Macaca fascicularis: one gene and its partners. The protein of the gene in region 4 interacts with the protein of the main gene of each other region in a biochemical or structural test. Links are inferred from orthologs where the notes say so. Each region holds a gene or a part of one and is shown on either strand. Other genes may lie near its edges. The genes, in order: PDCD6, LNPK, SEC31A, KLHL12, FBXL17 and DRD4.

Region 1 (4,165 bases), on a different chromosome or scaffold from region 4:
GGTGAGCAAGTTTAACAGAAAACCTAAAACGAAACCTAAAATCTAAAAACCTGAGCAAACGCATAAAAAGCAGGCTGTTAAAATGGATCATAAATCTTGCATCACTCACTGGAAAACCACTCAAAATAAATGTCTCCGCGACATGGCCTCTGGGGAGGGCACTCTGTGTGGCTCGTACCACCCTGGTGACAAACCACTTGAACCTGGGTGGTCATCTGATGACATTTCACAGATGATGCACAGAGCCATCTGCACCCACTGTGGTTAACATTGAGGACGTTTTAAGCTAAGATTTGCCAAATTGTAGCCTACTGGATTCCAGGTTCTCTTGACATCTTTTTCCAGTAGCCATGTCTTGCACTTCCCAAGTATAAAAGAACCGAGATGCAAATTTAAAAAAGGAGGATTTAAGAATAATGAAAAGAGAAAAATCAAGAAAGCACAATCACTAGTGCCGATAATAGAATTTCTGAATTCCCTGAAAACAATCTATATAAATGCATGTGAAATAATACACCAGCATCTGTGGCCCACACGTCACATATCAGGAACTGATGTCAGAATATAAGGTAAACATGTTACTCTGAAAACACAAATCCTCACAAATCATTAGGCAGTAAGGCTGAATGAAGCATCCCCCCAGGCACAGCGCAGTGAGGCAGTGTCCAGCAGCCGTAGTGCTCCCTGTGTCCCAGTCCAGTCTCTGGCAACATCAGGTACTTCCCACTAATAACGAGGAGCCTTTCAACATTTTCACAACATCTCAAAACCGACCCCTTTTCTAGCTTAAATGGCACGGATCTGGAAAGGGAAACTATACACAGAATCGGAAAAGATGACTGCCCCAAAGGGATTACAGAAAAAGCCGCAGTCAGGTGTTCAATGAAGTAAAACGTGATCTTCCCAGGGGAGGGGGGATCAATTGAGCTGAAACTGGCAAGAACTAACTGCAGTGAGCTCACAACACCCAAGGACCCGGATTTCCCGCCGCCTGAACGTCCAGTATTCGCACACTGATAAGAACACCTCCCCATAATTCCCCTGCCAGCGCCTCCAACACCCCCAATCCTTTCCCCAGGAATGCAGTCCCCGTGTTTGCGGCTCCTGTAACAGCCACGTCCCCACACAAGTGCTGCCTGAGCTCCCCAAGCCCTCCAACCACCACCCCCCAATGCCCTCGAAGGTCTATTCAGAGAAGTCACCAAGATGCAGTTACCGAGGAAATTCAAGGACCTCCAACTTACCAAAAGGCTTCCGGCTGTACAGAGCTAAGCTTCCTATTCCCCTCCTAAACCTACAACCTAGTTTTCATTTCTCAAGAAGCCTTTTCTTGTGCTTATGCACGCAGTTGTTAGCCGGCTTGGTGAGGCACTCCAAATAACAGCGGCAGCCACAACAGAAACCAGAAGCATCTCCACCATGAAGCAGTAATAATAGTTTGTCCTAATGATCCCTTTGTCCTTGGAAAATGAACTTCAGAAAGAAAGTTATCCACTGCGAGCAGAGCAGGCTTCTGGGTCCGGACCCAGGTCCCACGGGCCCACTCAGCGGCTTCTGGGTCCGGACCCAGGTCCCACGGGCCCACTCAGCGGCTTCTGGGTCCCGACCCAGGTCCCACGGGCCCACTCACCGTTGGAGAGAGCTTGCTGAAGCTCGGTGTCCGATATCACTCCACTCCTGTCTTTATCAACCCTACAACATCAAGAAGACCAAATAAGCTGGCGATCCAAAGTTCAGGAAAAGCAAAACAAACGTCTCCTGTCAACCCTGCACTGACTCTGGAAGGCTCGGAGCCTCCTGGAACCTCCGCCTCTCCCATCCCGCTGAGGAGGACACGGGAATCAAGGAAGTGCCGCAGGAGCCCACGTCCAAGCGGGGTCTTCCCCTAAGAGGCCAATCATCTTTCTCTCTCAATCCTTCCCTTCCTTCCTCTCCTGGCCTGTCTGAATTCACATTTGCACCAGTTTCCCTTTTTCACAAACAAGATTCCCTCAGATAACTAAGGCATTCCCTGGCCATGAGTCACTACAGTTTCGGTCATTCATTCCGTGGAAAAGCGACCCGGGACAGAAGGCGCCGCCGGAAAGGTCACCTGCCCCGAGCAGACGCCAGGTCGCTGCTGCTTCCTCGGCTGCTGACACTTAACAGCGCCCAGGCAGTCTGTCTCTGCTTTCCCCGAACAAGCACCCCTGGAGACCCTCCGCCCGGCGGCTCCTGAGGCGAGAAAAAGGGCCTAGCCCGGGAGCCGGTGGCCGCGACCTCGGGTCTGCAGCGGCTACTCTGCACCTCTGGAAGGGCCCAACGCACAGGGCAGGGACCGGGCAGGAGGCGGGGGCGGCCGCGGGAGACCCACAGGGGACGGGGGCGGCCGCAAGGGACCCACAGGGGACCGGGGAGACCGCAGGGGACCCGGCAGGGGACGGGCGCGGCCGCAGGGGTCGGGGCAGGGGACGGGGGAGGCCGCGGCGGTCGGGGCAGGGGACCGGGGAGGCCGCGGGGGACCCGACAGGGGACAGAGGAGGCCGCGGGGGAACCGGCAGTGAACCGGGTCCGCGGCGGTGGGGGCAGGAGTCGGGGGCGGCCGCAGCGGAGGCGGGAGGTGCTGGGGCGGTGCCAGGCCGCACCTCTGGAAGACGTTCCACAGAAAGCTCTGGTCCGGCAGCGCCGCGCCCGCAGCAGGCCCTGGGCCGGCCCCGGGGCCGGGGCGGTAGGAGTAGGCGGCCATGGGCCAAGGCGCGCGGCTGGGCTGAGGCGTCTACTGAGACGTGAGACCTCTCAGGGCGACTCCGCTTCCGGCTCTGCCGGGGGCAGGGCCTGGCGTTACCTCCACTTCCGGGGGCGCAGGAAATGCGTAGTCTCCGGGATGGTCACGGGGTCCCGCGCGGCCAATCCCCTCGCAGCTCAGTTACCAAGCAACGCCCTGGCGCCTGCGGGGCCTGTGCGGTCCGGGGCGTCTGGAAAAAGCCAGAGCTCTGGAGCAGGCAGCCGGCTACCGGTGCTGGGAAGGCGCTTGGAGAAAATGTCCGGCTCTGCGACCCGGGACGGGAAGTGATGGAGTAGAGAGTTAGTTAGCCTTTCAGTTCATGTATAAAAAGAAGTTTTGACGTGAATGTGATTCAGGCTAACAGTCGGAAACTCTGGGCGGGGCGCGGTAGCTCACGCCTGTGATCCCTGCGCTTTGGGAGGCGGAGGCGGGCGGAGCTCCTGAGCCCACCAGTTCGGACCAGCCTGGGCAGCGTGGCCAGACTCCATCCCTACAAAAATTGCAGAAAATAGTCGGGCGTGGTGGCGGGCCCCTGTGGTCCCATCTACTCCATGGGCAGAGGCGGGAGGATCGCCTGAGCCCGGGAAGTCGAGGCCGCAGGGAGCCGAGATCACTGCACTCCAGCCCGGTGGACAGCCAGACTCTGCCGAAAAAAAAAAAAAGCAGGCCGTGCGCAGTGTCTGACGCCTGTAATCCCAGGACTTTGGGAGGTCGAGGCCGGTGGATCACCTGAAGTCGGGAGTTCGAGACCAGCCTGACCAATATGGAGAAACCCCGTATCTACTAAATATACAAAATTAGCCGGGGGTGGTGGCGCACGCCTATTCCCAGCTACTCGGGAGGCTGAGGCAGGAGAACTGCTTGAAGCCGGGAGGCGGAGGTTGCAGTGAGCGGAGATCAGGCCGTTGCACTCCAGGCCTGGGCAACAAGAGCGAAACTCCGTCTCAAAAAAAAAAAGGGAAAACGCATTTCGGGTGGGAAGGACAGTGTGCAGCGTTCTCGGTTGTCTGTTCCGCCCGTAAAAGCTTCCCTCCTTTAGGTTTAACCTGCGCCCCCGCGCTCTGCCTCAGCGCCGCCCCCGACGCCGTGCAGCTGGCAACACTGGGCGCCTCCCTGCCGGGTCCCTTCCCGCCCCTTGGTGGTGGTGCAGCCCTGTCTCCCCCGAGACAGCACTGCCTCCATGCTGGACACGGTTCTGCGGTGGAACCTGGAGTGCCTGTAGCACCAATCCCCGGAATTGGGAAGTGCCCAGCTTTGGGCCACTATGATCCCTGGGTCTTTGCCGCCTTCCACCCCAGTCCTGTGTCCTGTGTCCTGTGTCCTGTGCCCTGGTTCAGGATACTACAATTATTCTCATTATTTCGTGGGGTTTTTCCAGCTTTTCAGGTTCTTCAGTGCCTC
Region 2 (3,500 bases), on a different chromosome or scaffold from region 4:
AGGGGAGCATGGTCATCTACTAGAAAATCATAAAACATTGCCATATAGAGCAATTATTACTCATATTACTAGGTAATACTCCTCAGGTATATTGGATTACAAATGAAGGTTTAAAACAATTGTTCTACTATTTTTAAAAAATCTTTTCAAATTGTGAAAGAAATTCAAACTCAATCAGATATTACCATTTAATAATAAAGAGACTGAATATATATACTAGATATACATTAAGACTCTCTAGTCAGAAAAGGAAAAGATCAACAAAAAGAATAATTTACTTACATCAATGGAAAAGCAAAAAATGGGAGTGTCATGGCAAGTCTTGCTGTAAATTCATCAGGAAGATACCACAAATATACAATTAAGCATGTAAACAGATAGAGAACTGAGGAATACAGAATTAATCTTCCAACCCATAATTTTTGTAATCTCTGATTTTTTTCCCTAAATTCTTCCAATGCTTGAATTTCCTGTTAAGAGAAAATTATTCCGTTAGTAAATTTCAAACTTCATAAAGAAATTAAAATGTTAAAAAATGTTAACAGGAAAGATATTTAAGAAAAAACTCTTATTTAAAGTTCAATAAAGCATAATACCCTAACCGTTTAAAACAGAACATAATATGTAAAAGAAAACTAAAACTGAGGTTAAAAATTTATAATGCTTATTCTAACAAAGCAATTTTACAATGCAAAATTAAGTACTATTTTTAAACTATCAAATTGGCAAAGATTCAGGGAATGAAATTGGTATCAGCAATAATATTTGTTGAGTCAAATAAGTAATAATTCCTCCTATAAAAGGCATTTTAAAAATCTGGCAATAAGAAAAAGAATTAATAAAAATTAAAACCGTAACCCATCTATTTATCACTCTCCATATTCCCAGAAAATCATTTTTTATACTATATAAAAAGCTGTGAAAATTTTGTAGACTGATAAAAACTATTATACAGTATCTCATCTATTTTGTCCTACCTGTAACATTTATTTACACCACACTATAGATCTAATTTCATTCTAACTGGCTCTATTACTTGAAACAGACTTCTTAAGTCACTGATAGACTTTAGATTTTTTTGAGGTCACATAACATTAAAGTTCTCAGACTCACTCTATATCATTTCTCAATTCCCATACCAGATTTGGTCTTCAAAATAATATATACTACAATAATATTTATTTAATACCTAAAATGAATTAAAATACCTTACAGCCAAAGAACATACCTTATCTATACTTTCTAGAACTTCTACAGTTGAAGGTTTTGTCTGTTACAGAAACAGAAACAAGAGACAGCATTAAAACGTATCACAAACTTTTATGTTTTGATATAATCATTAAAGAACATTTATTTCAAAATTGAATTTTCTCAAATGTTATCAGGCAAATATGTATTCTTGTTTATAACTAAGATTTACTTAAATAAAAATTATAATTGCAAACAGAACTACGTAAGAGTAAAGAAATAAGCATTTCCCTACTTAACTTTTTTTAATCCTAGAAAGACTTTGAATTCTGATGGCTCAATTTTTACCATTCTTAACCTCAATAAAACACACTGTTATAGAAAGAAACAAATTTTGGCCAGGTACGGTGGCTCGCGCCTGCACTTTGGGAGGCCAAGGTGAGCGGATCACTTAGGGTCAGGAGTTTGAGACCAACCTGGTCAACATGGTGAAACACCATCTCTACTAAAAATCCAAAAATTAGCTGGGCGTGGTGGCATGCGCTTGTAATCCCAGCTACTCAGGAGGCTCAGGCACGAGATTTGCTTGAACCCGGGAGCCAGACATTGCAGTGAGCTGAGATCGCACCACTGCACTCTAGCCTGGGTGACAGAGAAAGACTGCATCTCAAAAAAATTTTTTAATTAAATTAAAAAATTAAAATACTGCACATTTTCCTCCAAAAAAATTTCTTAGGAATGATTACTCAAAAGAATTAACACATTAAAAAAATTTACAGACTAAAAATAGTCTGATTGGCTATTGCTAAAAGTTCACTTAAGACTCTGGAGGTCAAAATCAACAGGTTATCTTCATTCTAAATTCCTAAAGTACTTTTTGAAGATCAGATTTTAAAAGGACATCTAAGAATACTTCATTATAGCAAAGCTTGTTTGCCAAAGGTATTTTTTATACATCTAGAATAAAAATCAGCCAAAATCACTCATAAAACACTTGAAAAAATATTTACCAATTACATACTCAACAATCCAAGAGGGTAATGAATATCAGGTCATTGTAGTTCCCATAAGAGTTGTTAACATTAGAGTTAACCATATGAAATTGACATTTTGCTAAGCCCAAGCAGTTGAATACTGGCAATTTCATATGGTTCAACCTAATATGAAAGACAAAGCAAGAAGAGATAAATTTGATCCTTGGGCAGATTATTAAAAGGTCATAACAGGGTCAATATAATGCTGATCCAAAACAAGGCTGTTCCAGCAACAGCCCAAAACCTAAGTTATGTACCAAGTATAGTTAGACTCTATTATTATGGTAGTAAGGAGAAAAAAACAATAAGTAGTTTATCCTAGACTACCTTATCTCCTCTTACATTTGAAAAAAGCATTTATATAATTTTTTTTTCTTTTATTTGAGACAGAGTCTAGCTCTGTCGCCCAGGCTGGAGTGCAGTGGCAAAATCTCGGCTCACTGCAACCTTCATCTTCTGGGTTCAAGCGATCCTGCCTCAGCCTCCCGAGTAGCTGGGATTACAGGCGCCCACGACCACGCCCAGCTAATTTCTGTATTTTTAGTAGAGACGGGGTTATATAATTTATACAATTCATATTTTCGAGCTGTAACTTTGAGATACTTCCTCTAAAAGCTTATCCAATAAAATCAAACTGAATTTCTAATTTTGTTTAACCTATAAATTCTAAAAGCACATGCAGTGTGACTTTAGTCAATATTTATGATAAGCTTCAAGTAAAAAGATACAGTGTGTAAGAAACAAATATTGTATAGAATACTTTCTTTCTTTTTTTTGAGACAGAGTCTTGCTCTGTCACCCAGGCTGCAGTGCAGTGGCACGATCTCGATTCACTGCAACCTCTGCCTCCTGGGTTCATTCTCCTGCCTCAGCCTCCCGAGTAGCTAAGATTATAGGTTCACACCACTACGCTGAGCTAATTTTTGCATTTTTAGTGGAGACAGGGTTTCACCATGTTGGCCAGGCTGGTCTCAAACTCCTGAACTCATGATCTGCCCACCTCGGCCTCCCAAAGTGTTGGGATTACAGGCGTGAGCCACCGCACCCGGCCTAGAGTACTTATTTTCAACTACCTTTCAAATAAGCTTGAAATTTAGGAAGTATAAGAAAACAAGATAGCCATTTGCACACAAATACAGAAATACAGAAATAAAAATAATTCATACATCCAAATGAAATAATTCTGTTACACAGAGGCATTGGACACCTACAGAACAAGTGGAAGTATCAAAATAAAAAATAGAAAAGTAATTCAAAAGAGAAGAAAAAAGTTAAGGA
Region 3 (4,261 bases), on a different chromosome or scaffold from region 4:
GAATCGCTTGAACCCAGGAGGCGGAGTTTACAGTGAGCCGAGATCATGCCATTGCACTACAGCCTGGGAGACAGAGCAAGACTCTGTCTCAGAAAAAAAAAAAAGATTTATTGAGGAATATTTATATTCCAGACTAGAACTCTTATTTTTCATGCAACTTTCTCTCGATAATTGCATTCGATTAGGTGGAAACTTTTTTCTTTCTGCTCATTTTCAAAATGTAAATTTTCTGAAGCAATACTAAAACCCAACAGCACTTGGGTTTTAGTATTGCTAAATACTAAAAGTATTTAGCAATACTAAAATTGTTGAAAAGTAAGTAACTTTTCAAAAAAAAAAAGTAACTAAAATTGTTGCTAAGTATTTAGCAATACTAAAATTGTTGAAAATGTTGAAAAGTACCAACCTTACAATGCTATATAGAGCTGACCCATACCTCAGAAAGCAAATAAAAAGTTAAAGAGGTAATAGAATTGGAACTTTGATTCCCAAACCAGGTATACAATCCCTAGTTGGCATTGCTTTTAGTAAAAATCCATTTTCTGTGGGCAAAATATCTCAATATGGATAGAAACAATTGTTCAGAGGATTGATTATTTTCAATGTCCTAGGTTCATTTCACTCAACCCAAACCAAGTCAAAGGAGAAAGTAACTGTGCACTGGTTACTGAACTAATTGGTGTCATATTAATCTTAGGTATAATAAAACTTTTTGAGCTGAAATTAACCTAATGACATTTCTAAAAACAATGTAATCAATGTAAATCAATCTAGTAATATCCCTTTACAGGAGTTTTTAACTTGTAAACTTCATAATATTATGTACACAGAAAATCCTACACGTCACTTGAGAGCAGGAGCTTGAGTCCAGCCTGGGGAACGTAGTGAGACCCCCATCCCTATAAAAAATAAGAGATTAACTGGGCGTGCGCCACGTGCATATTCCTAGCTACTTCTGAGGCTGAGGAGGGAGGATCTCTTGAGTCCAAGAGTTCAAGGTTATAGTGAGCTATGACTGCACCACTGCACTCCAATCTGGGCAACAAAGAGTGACTCTGTCTCAAAAAAAAAAAGTAAAATAAAAAAAAAGAAAATCCTACGTGTGTATATGTGCATTCTTCCAATGCTTTCATTAGATTCCCATAAGACAGTGAAATCCCCCCAAAATTGTGAATCATTGCTCTTCACAGTTTACAAATTTATTTCTATTCCCACGTTATTAGTTTCAATAAATAATTTGCCTATATAAAATTAAGCAATATTATTCTAAATCTACCTTAAATTTCAAGTTTCACAAATAACCGTGGACGTATGTAAGATAAAATCACTACAAAACTACAGAAACACCACGAGTTATCCAAAAGTTCTTGGAGTCTACAAACCTCTCCCTGAGCTGTAATTAAGGAATACTGAGAAACAAGAAGCACAGAAGAACCACTAAAGGAGAGTAGGCTGGGCGTGGTGGCTCATGCCTGTAATCCCAGCACTTTGGGAGGCCAATGCGGGCGGATCACTTGAGGTCAGGAGTGCGAGATCAGCCTGACCAACATGGTGAAACCCAGTCTCTACTAAAAACACAAAAACTGGACGGGCGTGGTGGCGGGCGCCTGTAATACCAGCTAGCTACTCAGGAGGCTGAGGCAGGAGAATCACTTGAACCCGGGAGACGGAGGTTGCAGTGAGCTGAGATCGCGCCACAGCACTCCAGCCTGGGTGACAGAGCGAGACTCCGTCTCAAAAAACAAAAAAAACAAAAACAAACAAACAAAAAAACAAAACAAAAACAAAAAAGGAGAGTAAGCTTTTGCCAACCCTTGAATAATCGGAGGTACAGAAAACGCTAGACGCTATAACAAGAACACAGCTTTACTGATTAAATACAGTTATAACTGCCCACAAAGACAACCAAATTTCAGTTTTCTATAGTTAGAAAAAAATAGGAGAAAGGATTTGTCACAGACTATCAGATCATTGCAACTTCAAAAGGCCCTACGTAAAATTAGTTCCTTAAGCGCAAGGAAAATTTTATAATGCCCACAAGTCCAGGCAATATTTTGGTTTATTTTACAACAGCCCCGTAATTTAACAACTTATTAGCAAAAACATGTAACACTTAATGAGACTGCCCTCAAAGTACAGGCTGCTCCTGGCTACCACTGTCCTTAAAATAATCCAATCCTAGTTAAATGACAGTAGACGTCAGTTCAAACCTATGAACCTTTAACTATAAATCTGGCAACAGTTCAAGTACAAACAAACAAATCCTAACCAAACTAAAGTCAACCAAAGTAATCCTTAGATTTTTTTCCTTTCCTCACCCTCGGGGACCGCACCTCTTTGTGCACAAGGGTCTGAAAGTCTCCTAACCTCAAACTCCAGTTACCAGCCCGGCTACGACTCCCCGGCAAGACACCGTCGCCAGCCTCGGGTGGCTTTTGCTCAGCAGTGGAGACGTCGGCGGATGCGGACGGGCGCGATCACTGAAGGAGTCCAGACGCCAGGCGTTGTTCCGCCGGGCCCGAAACCAAGACTGGGGGCGCGCCGTCACCAGAGACCGGGCCTCAGGCTGGCGCGGGGCAGCGGAGACCCAGGCTGCGGTCCCAGTTTTGGCCTGGGCTTTACCTCAAGGCTTAAGGACCGGCGAAGAGGACAAAAAGCAACGGGTGGACACACCTGGCAAGGACCTTGAGCAGCCGGATCCTGCGTTAGTGCAGCGCCCGTCGGAGTCTCCCAGCATTCGCCGCCGCCCCTCCTCCCGGGCCAGGGCCACCTCCACGTTCCGTTCCAACGTGGCAGCCGCAGCCGCAGCCACGCCCTGCCGCCCAACACTTCCGGGAGCGACATTTCTCCCCGCCCACCCCGACGCACGGCCCGCCACGGCACTTCCGGGACCGGCGGTAGGCTGGGGTGCAGGGTATGGCTCTGCGGGTTGGGCGCGCTCTGCGGTCATCGCGCCCGCGCGAATGTAGAAACCCTTTTCTGAGGGGCGGCGCGCAGAATATGGATGCGGCAGCCAGGACTAGCAGGTAAAGGAGTAGTGCAGAGGGTGTCTCCGTCCGGCCGAATAACCGCTGTGGTCCGCAGGAACGCCACGTAGCACTAGTCCTGTGAGGTGTCTGCAGCCCCTGGCGACACTGCCCAAGCCAAACCACGTGGAAAATTGGGCTGCAAGAGCTTTATTGTAATTTGTGACTGAGTTCTTAAAATTACCCACTTGATTACACATTCTGGCATTTTGAGAACTTACACAAAGCGAAACTATCTGGGCATACCCAAAGGCTATTGTGGACAGAGAGGCATAGATGGGGTGTTACGGTGTTATCAATTAGTACCCTTTCATACTTGTTACTATCCCATGGTATTGAGACCCCGTAGCACTCGCCTTCCGCTGTTACTAGTTTCCCCAGAGCTTCAAATCTAATTAGATGCGTTGCCTGGGTGTACTTTTAGTTTAGGGAGGAATTATTTTACAGCGAGGTAAAGCCAAAGGAAAATCACTTGCTAAACTACCAGAAACTGGATTCAACCCAGGTCTCCTAACTTCTAGACAAGTTCTTTTCTCATTACACCTAGCATTCAAAGCCAACTCTTGCACTTTGGGTGGCTAAAGCAAGATCCTGCCTCTTGAACAGCAGCAGTGTCAACATTCCCAGTCAGCTACATCTTCTGTAACATTCCATCTGAAGCTTGCAGCTTCCTAAGATAGCTTAACATTATCACGCCAACTTCTGAAATAATGAACCCAGCTTTTACTGGTAGTAATATATTTTCTTTCAACGCAGTAACTAAGGTTATCACTTTGGCCTGAATGCTAGTCAAACTGATTGGGATTTGTTTTTGATTAGTCTTCAAACAAGTAAATGCTCCATTTCAACCGCAAGCAGCTTTCTGTTCCTAGTGCAATTAAAACTGAAAGACGTTGAAGCAAGTTTACCTTTTTACATTTATCATACTTTTTCAATAGGCCTGTATTACAGCTTCATGCAGGTCTGGGTCTCAACCTATCTTTGCTTTGCTGTCACCACTTTCAAATCTTCTAATCACATCCAATTTCACTTCCAGCGTTATCACTTTTCTTTGCTGCCCTGTCCTTTGTTGACCAATTACCTATTTTGATTATCCATTTCTGTAAATGGTCACAAGTTTTAATCTCTGGGGCCACGGAGGCAACACTACTATGCACTTTGTGCTTTGCTATCTGTGCATGAACTGATGGATCAGTAACAAATCACCAACAAACTTTGAAAGAACGTAACTGGCC
Region 4 (3,500 bases):
CCTGGGCAACAAAGAGAGACCCTATCTCAAATAATAGTAACATTTGACCTTAATTTTTTCTCCATATTTCATGCTCCTGCCAGACAACAGGAGAGGTTAAAAACCCTGGTCCAGCCACAGTAAGATGGAAATAATTGCCCTGCACATCCAGCCTACCTCCCAGGGTGGTGGCTCCAGCAAGACCTCGTCGGACATTCATAGGGGCCACAGAATACCAGACCCCATCCTCATCTGCTGTGTAGTCTAGACATTCCACTGAACTAAGGCGGGAACGGCCATCATAGCCACCAATGACGTAGATCCGGTCATGTAGGGACACTGAGGCCACATAACGTCTCTTACGAGTGATGCTCTATGGATTTGGAGAGAAGAGGTACAGAGCATTTCAGTTAGGCAAGTTTTAGGCCTTACCTTTTGCCATCTTCCCTGTTGCATCTGCACACCTCTATGCTTCTTCACCTGTTATCATGAACCCTCCCTGAGTGGTTCATCCTCAAGTGGCTCCCAAATAGCTATCTACTGAACGAAATGCTTGTGGTGCTCTTAAAGATACAAGCTTTCTGCACATCTGCCTCTTTCCAAGGCTTCCAAAAGATTTAACAGTCTTCTGTTATCTAGTATCTGACTCCTTTCTTTTCCATAAGGCACTGGGCTAAGAGACTGATATCCTTCCATAAAGTGGAAAAGTATTCCCACACTGCTAATCAAAGGGCCAGGATTTATTACAAGAACCTTAAAAGGTAGAAGGGTTGGATTTCCATGTTTTCTTAGAAAGTACTATTGTTCATTCAGCACTGAAAGAGACATGCTGAGGAAGACAGATACAAACTTTTTTTTTTTTTTTCCTGAGTTGGGATCTCACTGTCACCAAGGCTGGACTGCAGTGGCACAATCACAGCTCACTGCAACCTCGAACTCCTGGGCTCAAGCAATCCTCTGCCACAGCCTCCCAAGTAGCTAAGGACTACAGGCATGCACCACCATGCCTGGCTAATTTTTTTGTTTACTTTTTTGTAGAGACAGAGTCTCACCATATTGCCCAGGCTGGTCTTGAACTCCTGGCCTCAAGGGATCCTCCCATCTCAGCTTCCCAAAGGGCTGGGATTACAGGTGTGAGCTACCATGCCCAGCCCAAACTTAGCTCAACTGAACACTAGGTTCAATTACACACAATTTAACATTCAGTTCAGTTTAACACAGCATGACCAATGAAATGTGCTGGGAATTATACAGACAGCTTGGCAAGGCACCTAACTAGTGGTGGCCATCTGAGTTTACCTTGACACAGGGCCACTGACATTACTAAGGCATAATCTTCTAATCTAAACAGTCAAAAACTGTTTAGTGAGTACCTACTATGTGCACAAGACTGCTGTAAGAAACATGATCCTGTTATTAGGCTTTTCTACTCTTAAGGCTGGATTAGCTACGATCTGGAGCCAGAGACTAAGGACATTTAAGCTCCCTCCCAACGAATAGCTTTTCTACTCCTAAGGCTGGATTAGCTATGATCTGGACCCAGAGACTGAGGACATTTAAGCTCCCTCCCAACGAATGGTTTCACCATTATTTACTGGCAAAAAGCTCCACTCCTGAGTCTTGGGGTCGTATTTCTCTACCACGTCGATGGGAGACTGCTGGCTTCCGAAGCCCCCAACCACCAAAAGCACTTCATTGGCTCCTGAAGACAAAGGCAGAAAAAAGATGGGTTAGTTCAGCATCCCTGGATGGGTAACTAGTCACAGGGAAGTGTCAACAGAAACAGTTCTAGGATGTCTTGTTTTATGTGACTGAGGGATGCAATCTGAAATGGGAGATAATCATAAGGCTGTCGAATGGGGAGTTATTTCTCCTTGAGGCTGTAGCTCTCAAGTCTCTGAAACTTAAATTTCTGGACAACATTAAAACTCTAGAAAGCAAACTTCAACATGACACTGCACCATTTCTTTTTTTTTTTTTTTTTTTTGGAGACAGAGTTTCACTCTTGTTGCCCAAGCTGGAGTGCAATGGCACAATCTCGGCTCACCACAACCTCCACCTCCTGGGCTCAAGTGATTCTCCTGCCTCAGCCTCCCAAGTAGCTGGGATTACAGGCATATGCCACCATGCCTGGCTAATTTTGTATTTTTAGCAGAGATGGGGTTTCTCCACGTTGGTCAGGCTGGTCCTGAACTCCCGACCTCAGGTGATCTGCCAGCCTCAACCTCCCAAAGTGCTGGGATTACAGGCGTGAGCCACCGTGCCCGGCAACACTGCACCATTTCAACCTATTGAGATGACTGGCTGACATAATACTTGAGGTCTTAAGTGCAGGTGAGAGGCTAAAGGCACTCTCTGCACTTCTCAGCCTGAAAAAACCCAAATTGGGAGGGTTTTTTTGTTGTAATAGGGAAAGAACTCTCCTAACCTTGTCACAAAAAAAAGCTGCATGTTGAAACTTAGGATCCAAGTGATGGATTTAAAGTCTCTTTTTCTGAATTGAGAAAGGGTCTCGCTATATTGCCCAGGCTGATCTCAAACTCCTAGCCTAAAGTGATTCTCCTGCCTCAGCCTCCCAAAGTGCTGGGATTACAGGAATGAGCCACTGTGCCTGGCCTAAAATCTCTTTTTCATGAACATTTCCTTCTCCAATGTAGTCAACTATATGATCATATTCCCTGCCAATTCATCAAAACCACAAGGCAACAAAAGACTAGAGTTTTAAAGGAAAAGTCTTTTTCTCTATTTTCCCAAAGAAGCTATTCTGACAGCCTTTATATCTTCCCCTTCCCCTAAGGCCTTACTCTGATAAAATACTTCCTACCCTGGCTCTTGGAGACAGGGTCTTGCTATATTGCCCAGGCTGGTCTCAAACTCCTGGCCTCAAGCGATATTTCTGCCTTGGCCTACCAAGTAGCTGGGGTTACAGGTATGAGCCACAGCACCTGGCTTGGCTTTTTTCAAAGAGCAAAGTCTCTTTGAGAAAATCCCCTGTGCATGTGCTCCATTAGAACTCAATTAGAACTCATGGAGAGAACAGTTAGCTGGAGCTTTGGAAAATTCAATCACTAGGAAGCATCTAGGAGACCAAAGTGATCTTACAAGTAACCTGGACTTGAAAGAGCAAATGTAGTACCTTGAAGCTGACAGGAAACACAGATAAACCCCTAATGAAGTAATGGATTTGACAATTATCATCAATTGCTGGGCTAGAATCATTATTTCAAAAGCTAACATATTACTATGAGACATTGTGTGCTTCCTAATGGTGATGAATAGGAAGGACCACACTACCATCTAATGAGTCTTTTTTCTAAAAAATTGAGGCTGACTCTTAACAACCCTCTAGTCCAACCACTAGTTTACAGGCAATACATAGGAGAAGAACATGTTAAATGACACTATAAAGATGCCAACAGCAGAGTCCAGAATGTGGGAAATTCTACAGGTCGAATAGCTTGTTTTCTTCAAGAAATAAATTGATTAGTAAAAACCAAAACAGGATGGAAACACTTTGTATT
Region 5 (3,500 bases), on a different chromosome or scaffold from region 4:
TGCCAGAGTATCCCTGGGCCACTGACTGGTCTTTCTGAGCCTCCATTTTCTCCACTTCACAATGCAAATAACTATTTCTTAGACTTGTTATAGGAAAAACATGGAATAAATAAAGAAGAAAACATCTGTGGAGTGCCTGGTGTCTAGCATAGGTTTTTTTTTTTTTTTTTGGTTTTTTGTTTGTTCGTTTGGGACTCGGTCTTGCTCTGTCACCCAGGCTGGGGTGGTGTGGCGCAATCACGGCTCACTGCAACCTCGGCCTCTTGAGCTCAGGGATCCTCCCACCTTAGCTTCCCTAGTAGCTGGGACTACAGGTGTGTGGCATGATGCCTGGCTAATTTTTTTTTTTTTTTTTTTTTTTTTTTTTGGTAGAGACAGAGTGTTTTGCCTTGTTGCCCAGGCTGGTCTCAAACTCCTGGGCTCAAGTGATCCTTCTGCCTTGGCTTCCCAATATGCTGGGATTACAGGTGTCAGTATAGATTTTTATTATCTGTTTTCTCAGTCTTCAAAGGGTCCCACATTAAATGCTGCACCATTTCCTAAACTCATGCTCACATCGCTGGTCAGCTCCACAGGCCTTCCACCAGGACCTCTGGAATCACTTCTTATCACGTGCTAGGAGTGGCATCTGATGTATGGGGAGATGCAAATTCCCACATACCCCCTCACTGGCCCTTTCTTGTTCCCGAGTGGCCAGAATACATAGATGTTCAGTAGCAAAATTACACACTTGTGAAAAACCAATTTGGCACTGTTCTTTCCACCTTTACTGTTGCTGGAAACTTGAAACACAGAATATAATTTTACGGTTAGACCCTGAAAATTGCAGTTTGTCATGTAACCTTTTAAATTTTGGTCCATGGACTTATAAATAGGATGCCAAACTCTAAGTTGACTCTATATATATGATTACTTTTTCTTTCTGCTTAAGCACAGAATTATTAAGTGGGGAAATGCAAAGATAATCCCAGATTAGTTTACAAAAGCAGGCGAACAATGCATAGCTATAATTGTGTATATATATATAATGTATATATAATATAGAATATATGGGGGTGGGGATAGAGAAGGAGAGGATACGACATCAAGCTATTAACTATACTGATATGTAGAAAGCAAACAACTTGATAGTCAACTCTTACTTTATCACATCTCATCAGCCCCAAATATCTCAGAGACTTGCTGCTCTGTGCAATCAGGGTGGCTCCTTGGTCTGTAATTTCCTTACACCATCCAACATCCACAGTCTCTATTGTCATGCTGTACCGCCCAATGGCTATCAGTGCTGCAAGAAGGGACAGAGAGAAAGCATTAACGTTAGCAGTGTAAGGGAGCTCTATCTTACTATGACTATTCATCTCATTTCCTCACTAAATTTGTTCCTGAAATTTTGTGTGTAAATGAATGTTTTATAAACTAAATTAAATTTGAAATGCTTTACGAAAGCTTCCCTATGACAAATCCTTTTGCAAAGTGAATAATCATTCCATAATTTCCCTTTCATTGGACACAACCTTTTATCAGTTTTATTCATTACAAGGTTACCTGTGCTTTCAAACATGCAGCTCTGCAGAAGGAATACAATAAAATGAATTACAGATACAACGTTTAAGAAAACCCAAGTAATAATTTTACCCAAGATAACTTTAATTTTTTTTTTCAAGAAAAACCCATGTAAACACCGTTTTGAGGAGTGTTATACTGCATGTGAATGTCTTTACCAATTGGCATAATTTTTTCCATCTGCTCATGACCTATAAAATGTAAAAGTATAAAATATTTTTCACATTAGTACTTCTTGGGACTGTTAGGAATTAAGAGTACATCATACATACAGCTGATTTTAACTGGTGCCATGCTAGAGTTCAGTAAAGGGAATGCATTTGTTATGGTGAATTTCCTCATCCTATCAGAAGTCTTCCTTCTATTAACATATAAAATGAAGCCTGTCATCTGTAAACCATGAGAGTATCTGTAGTCTTCTTAGCTGTTTAGCATTGTACCACCACTAAAGTGCAGACTCTTATCCCACAATCTATGACGTGCACTACTAGTCACTGCAAAGCCCCACAGCCCATTACCCCATCAGAGTGACCAGTTGGTGAATGTGGCTCTTTTCTACCGACTTTGATAGATGTGCCCACCTCTATATTTATGGAGCAGAAAAACAAATTTCAATACTCCAGCACCAGTTTATGGTGCATTGGTTTGTGAATGAAAACCCTGAAAACAGTGCCACAAATATCAAAAAGAAAAGAGAAATGGTTTTCTGATAATTTCCTCCTTCTAAGATAGCATAAGTTGATTTCTGTGACAATAAAGGTGAATGATAGTTCCCAAAATGTGTTGACTAGATGGATAGAGTTAAGTACTCATGTTAACAAATGTTTACTCCTACAGCTCACAGAAGAGAATATTTGGAAAAGTCTTTCTTTGCTAATTACCTCAGTTTTTTTTTTTTTTTTTTTTTTTTTTTTTTTTTTTACTAGAAAACTCATGTCTGTACATTCCAGTAGGAAAGCACTCAAAGGAGCCAGATATTTAATGTTTATACAAACAGCAATCATGACCCCAGTATTTTCCAGTGAAAATACAATAGAGAGAATTTTTTTTTAAAGTTCTTTATGTACCAGTTTGTTAATGTTTTCATCTTTGTGCATGCTGTTTTGATATTTAAAGTTTTCCAAGGGATTTGGGGATTTGCCAACTACTAAAAGTTTGCAGAAATGGTCTGAATACTATCTTTGTGTAGAAGGAGCAACATCCCAGGTTAATTTTGGTGTCTCTGACCTAAGAAAATTGTTCTCTCTGGTACCATCATAACTTTCATTGCTTATGATATCCTGAAGATCTGCTAAGAAAAATGAAGTAGGGGATACATAAAATAAATCCCTTTTAATACAAAGTGCTCAAACTATAATTTCCAAAGATGACAAAGCACCACTTGCAGGATGGCCTGGGGTTGGTAGATTTTGTGAAGTTGTTTCATTGAGGTCTGAGGCTAGAACACGAAAGCCCTGTACTATCCAGAAAAGCCCTGACTGTTACAGCCTGCTTTATAAGCAGATAAAGCGTCAATAGCTATTGATTCTGGGTGGTAAAATTACTGATGTTTGGAGGCTTTTCTTCTGACTTAGCACTATTTACTGAAGTTAGAATGAAACTTTATTATTTCTTTTTTTTTTTTTTTTTTTGAGAGGGAGTCTCGCTCTGTTGCCCAGGCTGGAGTGCAGTGGCTGGATCTCGGCTCACTGCAAGCTCCGCCTCCCAGGTTCACGCCATTCTCCTGCCTCAGCCTCGCGAGTAGCTGGTACTACAGGCGCCCGCCACCGCGCCCGGCTAGTTTTTTGTATTTTTTAGTAGAGACGGGGTTTCACTGTGTTAGCCAGGATGAGAAACTTTATTATTTCTTAACTCATTCAATTATTTAATAACCACTTCATGAGCTCTAGAGCATTTTTGCCAACATTTATTGACTACACTCCATGTGCCAGGCCCTT
Region 6 (3,962 bases), on a different chromosome or scaffold from region 4:
ACGGCCACGGCCACGAACCTGCGGGGAGCGCCGAGGGTGCGCGGGACAGCGCGGAGGCCGCGGTGAGGGCGGCGGCGGCGGGAGGGGCGCGAGGGCGCGGGGGCGCGGGCGGGGAGGGCGGCGCACCTGTCCACGCTGATGGCGCACAGGTTGAAGATAGAGGCGGTGCACAGCATGACGTCCATGGCCATGAGGGCGTCGCACAGGCGGGGGCTCAGCAGCCACGCGCCACCCTGGACCTGCGCGGCGACACCACAGGCCCTGAGGTTTCCCAGCCACCGCGGGCCCTTGTGACCCCCTCTCTTATGGGTAGTTCCAGGGCTGAATATGGAGGAGGGGGCCCGCTGTGAACCAGAGGCCAGAGGAGCAGGCAGAGAAACAACCCCTCTGCACTCAGGTCTCCCTTTGTTTTCAGTTAGGGTCTCGCTCTGTCACCCAGGCTGGAGTGCGGTGGCTCCATCATGGCTCACCGTAGCCTGGAACTCCTGGGCTCAAGCGATCCTCCCACCTCAGTCTCCAGAGTAGCTGGGACTACAGCCGCGCGCCACCACCCCCCAACTGATTTATTTATTTTTTATTTTTGTTTTTCTTTTTGTTTGTTTTTTTGAGACGGAGTTGCACTCTTGTTGCCCAGGCTGGAGTGCAGTGATGCGATCTCAGCTCACTGCAACCTCCGCCTCCCGGGTTTAAGCGATACTCCTGCCTCAGTTCCCCCGAATAGCTGGGACAGCAGCCGCATGCCACCATCCCAGGCTGATATTTTCATTTTTTTTTTTTTTTTTTTCTGAGAGGGAGTCTCGCTCAGTGGCGCAGGCTGGAGTGCCCTGGGACGATCTCGGCTCACTGCAAGCTCCGCCTCCTGGGTTCCCGCCATTCTCCTGCCTCAGCCTCCCAAGTAGCTGGGACTACAGGCGCCCGCCGCCACACCCGGCTAATTTTTTGCATTTTTAGTAGAGACGGGGTTTCGCTGTGTCAACCAGGATGGTCTCGATCTCCTGACCTCGTGGTCCGCCCTCCTCGGCCTCCCAAAGTGCTGGGATTACAGGCGTGAGCCACCGCGCCCGGCCGATATTTTAATTTTTTGTAGAGACCCGGCCCGGTATGTTTCCCAGGCTGGTCTCAAACTCCTGGGTTCAAGCGATCCTCCTGCCTTGGCCTCCCAAAGTTCTGGGATTACAGGTGTGAGCCACCACTCCTGACCTTGGTCTCCCTTTTGTTACAAACATGAGAACGGGCCTGGGGAATTCCCTGGGGGCGGGGCCTGATGTCATCGGGCTCAAGGAGAGCCCCTCCCCAGCCTGGGGTAGGCAGGGTCCCCGCTGGGCCTAGACATGAAGCTGGCTGCTCTGTCCTTCAGGGCATGAGCCAGCCTGTCTGGTGAAGCTCTCTGTGGGAGACTCGGGCGCATTAATTCATTTGTTTCCTCATCTGTAAGACGAGGATGATGATAGTATCCACATAATTGTCTTGAAGATAAATTATAATTAAAAATATGAAGACCTGCCCAGTGCCCAGCGTAGGAGTCCACGTGGAGTGACTCTCTTCAAGGGCAAAGGAGCAGGCAGCCCCCTTAATCCCTTCCCGCCGATTTGGGAAGATTAGGAGCTTAAACGTCGTCACTGTGACGTCTGCGGCTCGAAAGGAGCACAGGTCATGCGTGTCCCGTGCTGCTGGTCTCTGCCCCAGCCGCCAGGACTCACCGTGTCTACCAAGGGGAAACCCCGAGTCCCCCCTCCTCCACAGTCCGGGACACCGCGTCCCCAGCTCAGCCTTAAGCTGCTTTTCTCTGGCTGCAGAGGGGCTGGCACCAAGTCCAACCCATCCGAGGGCCAGATCTGGTGTGGAGTGTGGGATCCATCCCCCAATTCCCCCTCGGGCTTCTCCCCAGGGTTCTCAGCAGGGGCCTGGCCCCCACACACCCTCCCCTGGGTTCTGTCCAGCCCAGGTCTCCCCTGTGAGCTGTGAGCCTCCTGGGGGTGAGCCAGCATCCGCACTGGGTGTGCGTGGTGGTCTGTGGCTGTGGCCATGTGCAGTGCGTGTGTGCAGTGCGTGTGTGTGTGTCCCAGGGCAGCCAGGGGGCCGAGCCCGCATCTGCCTGCCTGTCCAGCTGGTTGCCCTGGGGGTGAAATCCAGCTGCCGGGCGGCGGGAGGGGGCTGGCTTGACAAAGTCGCCTATTTCTGGGGTCCCTAGATCGAAGGACGGGCATCTCCTGGATAGCAGACGCCAAGACAGAAGGGGAAGGGAGGAGAGGAACGGGGGTCGGGGGACAGCGCAGCGGGGGGAAGGACGCGAGGTGGCGGCGGTGGGTGTAGCGCGGAGGGACCAGGCCCAGCGCCCCTGCCGCCGCCCCAGCTGGAGGCTCCGGAGCAGAAAGGGGCCGGGTCGCGCCGGGTCCTCCGCAGGGACAGGGACGGAGAACCGAGGAGCAGATGAAGATGCTCGTGCGGCCAGACGGGGCTCACCTCGGAGTAGACGAAGAGCGGCAGCACCAGGAGAGCGAGGAGGAGGTCGGCGGCCGCCAGGCTCACGATGAAGGAGTTGGTGGGCGTCTGCAGGGCGCGCTCGGTGGCCACGCTCACGCACACGAGCGAGTTCCCCGCGAGCACCGCGCCGATGAGCAGCACGCCTCCAACCAGCGCCGCCGCGCCCGGCCCTGCCAGCCCCGCAGCCGCCCCCGCGCCCGGCCCGCGTCCGGCCAGCAGCCCGTCCGGGTCCGCGGTGCTGCGGTTCCCCATGGCGCGCCGGCCCCAGGCGCCCGGGCGGGCGCTGAGCACCGCGGACAGCGCCGGGCCGCAAACCGGGGAGTCCCTCCCCTTGGGCACGCCCCGGCCAGACTCTGGTCCCGCCCCCGCCCCGCCCCGGCTCAGGGGGGCCCCCGCGGCGCTCCACCGTGCGCCCAGTATTTGCTCATCTTGGAATTTTGCGCAGGGAGAGACGGGCAGGCGGACGAATGCGGCGGCCCAAAGAGACGGGAATGCAGCGAGGTGGTGGCCATGGGCAGGCCCAGCATCGCCTGGTGCGGCGCGGGGTCCGCACCCCGAGAAACCAACAAGGATGGAGGGGCAGCCAGACCAAGCCCTGAAGCGCGCGGGCATCGACGCCAGAGCCATCCTGCCCGGCCCCTGCGTGCGTCCCGGCCCTCGGGCCGTCCACCTAGTCCACCTGGTGTCTGGGAAAACGTCCCTCCCAGGCCCGTTCCGCCAGTCGCGGGAAGACCGGAGCTTAGGCTCTGCCCGCCTCCCGGGGGACTCGCCTCGACCTCGCGCGCACCCTCCTGCCCGCGACTCCGCGCCCGACCCAACCGCCGACGCCTGGCTCGTACCCCCGCTCCCCAGCAGCCTCTGGTCCTCAGCCCCCGCGACCACCACAGTCAGCCGCGGCCCCACCCATTGCACAGTTGGTCCTCCCGTGGCCGCCTCCGATAGTGGGCCGGCACCTCCCCCCGACCCTCCACCCCCGGGCGGACAGCTGAGCGGTCGACCCTGCTCCCTCCTCCAGTCCCTCCGGCCCAAGACCCTGAGCTAGGTAGGCGTCCCTCTGACCCTGGGCAGGGGGTCCGGGGACCGGACAGTAGGTTCAGCCCGCGAGGAGGCAACGAGAAAGACAAGACAGGCCCTGGGAGGTTCCAAACGTGCAGAAGAGAAAGTGCTTGCAAAGTGCAGCAGAGACAGTTCTATGGACTCTTCATCAAATCGGGGTGACCCATGACCTGAGGGGTATTTTCTGTAGTCCTGTCACTAAAGGGGCCTAGAAGGCACTAAAAGGAGGCACCACTCTGTGGGACCCTGGGCGATGCACATCTTGCTCTTGTCTTTGTTTCTGGGAGGACTGGAGTGGAGGGGCCGTGCCAGGAATTGAGGCCCCTGACCTCAAACGTATGGAGGACACGGGCTGGACGAGGTGCTGATGGGGTGTGCATTAAAGGGAGAAACGAGGGCTCTGAGAAGGAGCAGGCACCGTG

What was found.
Region 1: the proteins of KLHL12 (region 4) and PDCD6 form a complex in vitro, tested with the Homo sapiens proteins (2 studies listed by BioGRID). The link is inferred for Macaca fascicularis from reciprocal best matches to the Homo sapiens genes KLHL12 and PDCD6.
Region 2: the proteins of KLHL12 (region 4) and LNPK form a complex in vitro, tested with the Homo sapiens proteins (2 studies listed by BioGRID, with this or other methods). The link is inferred for Macaca fascicularis from reciprocal best matches to the Homo sapiens genes KLHL12 and LNPK.
Region 3: of the proteins of KLHL12 (region 4) and SEC31A, one has a biochemical effect on the other in vitro, tested with the Homo sapiens proteins (3 studies listed by BioGRID, with this or other methods). The link is inferred for Macaca fascicularis from reciprocal best matches to the Homo sapiens genes KLHL12 and SEC31A.
Region 5: the proteins of KLHL12 (region 4) and FBXL17 form a complex in vitro, tested with the Homo sapiens proteins (3 studies listed by BioGRID, with this or other methods). The link is inferred for Macaca fascicularis from reciprocal best matches to the Homo sapiens genes KLHL12 and FBXL17.
Region 6: of the proteins of KLHL12 (region 4) and DRD4, one has a biochemical effect on the other in vitro, tested with the Homo sapiens proteins (2 studies listed by BioGRID, with this or other methods). The link is inferred for Macaca fascicularis from reciprocal best matches to the Homo sapiens genes KLHL12 and DRD4.

What each region holds. Positions count from the first base shown.
Region 1 is NC_088380.1:589,667-593,831, reverse strand, and holds the start of PDCD6 (programmed cell death protein 6), read right to left. Parts: upstream 2,801-4,165; 5' UTR 2,726-2,800; coding exon 2,625-2,725; intron 1,693-2,624; coding exon 1,631-1,692; intron 1-1,630. UniProt on the Homo sapiens protein: Calcium sensor that plays a key role in processes such as endoplasmic reticulum (ER)-Golgi vesicular transport, endosomal biogenesis or membrane repair.
Region 2 is NC_088386.1:71,543,903-71,547,402, forward strand, and holds part of LNPK (endoplasmic reticulum junction formation protein lunapark), read right to left. Parts: intron 1,271-3,500; coding exon 1,229-1,270; intron 471-1,228; coding exon 283-470; intron 1-282. UniProt on the Homo sapiens protein: Endoplasmic reticulum (ER)-shaping membrane protein that plays a role in determining ER morphology. Involved in the stabilization of nascent three-way ER tubular junctions within the ER network.
Region 3 is NC_088379.1:50,950,805-50,955,065, reverse strand, and holds the start of SEC31A (protein transport protein Sec31A), read right to left. Parts: upstream 2,801-4,261; 5' UTR 2,368-2,800; intron 1-2,367. UniProt on the Homo sapiens protein: Component of the coat protein complex II (COPII) which promotes the formation of transport vesicles from the endoplasmic reticulum (ER).
Region 4 is NC_088375.1:60,647,369-60,650,868, forward strand, and holds part of KLHL12 (kelch-like protein 12), read right to left. Parts: intron 1,682-3,500; coding exon 1,575-1,681; intron 353-1,574; coding exon 157-352; intron 1-156. UniProt on the Homo sapiens protein: Substrate-specific adapter of a BCR (BTB-CUL3-RBX1) E3 ubiquitin ligase complex that acts as a negative regulator of Wnt signaling pathway and ER-Golgi transport.
Region 5 is NC_088380.1:114,361,844-114,365,343, forward strand, and holds part of FBXL17 (F-box/LRR-repeat protein 17), read right to left. Parts: intron 1,286-3,500; coding exon 1,143-1,285; intron 1-1,142. UniProt on the Homo sapiens protein: Substrate-recognition component of the SCF(FBXL17) E3 ubiquitin ligase complex, a key component of a quality control pathway required to ensure functional dimerization of BTB domain-containing proteins (dimerization quality control, DQC).
Region 6 is NC_088388.1:539,075-543,036, reverse strand, and holds the start of DRD4 (D(4) dopamine receptor), read right to left. Parts: upstream 2,801-3,962; 5' UTR 2,737-2,800; coding exon 2,464-2,736; intron 240-2,463; coding exon 127-239; intron 19-126; coding exon 1-18. UniProt on the Homo sapiens protein: Dopamine receptor responsible for neuronal signaling in the mesolimbic system of the brain, an area of the brain that regulates emotion and complex behavior.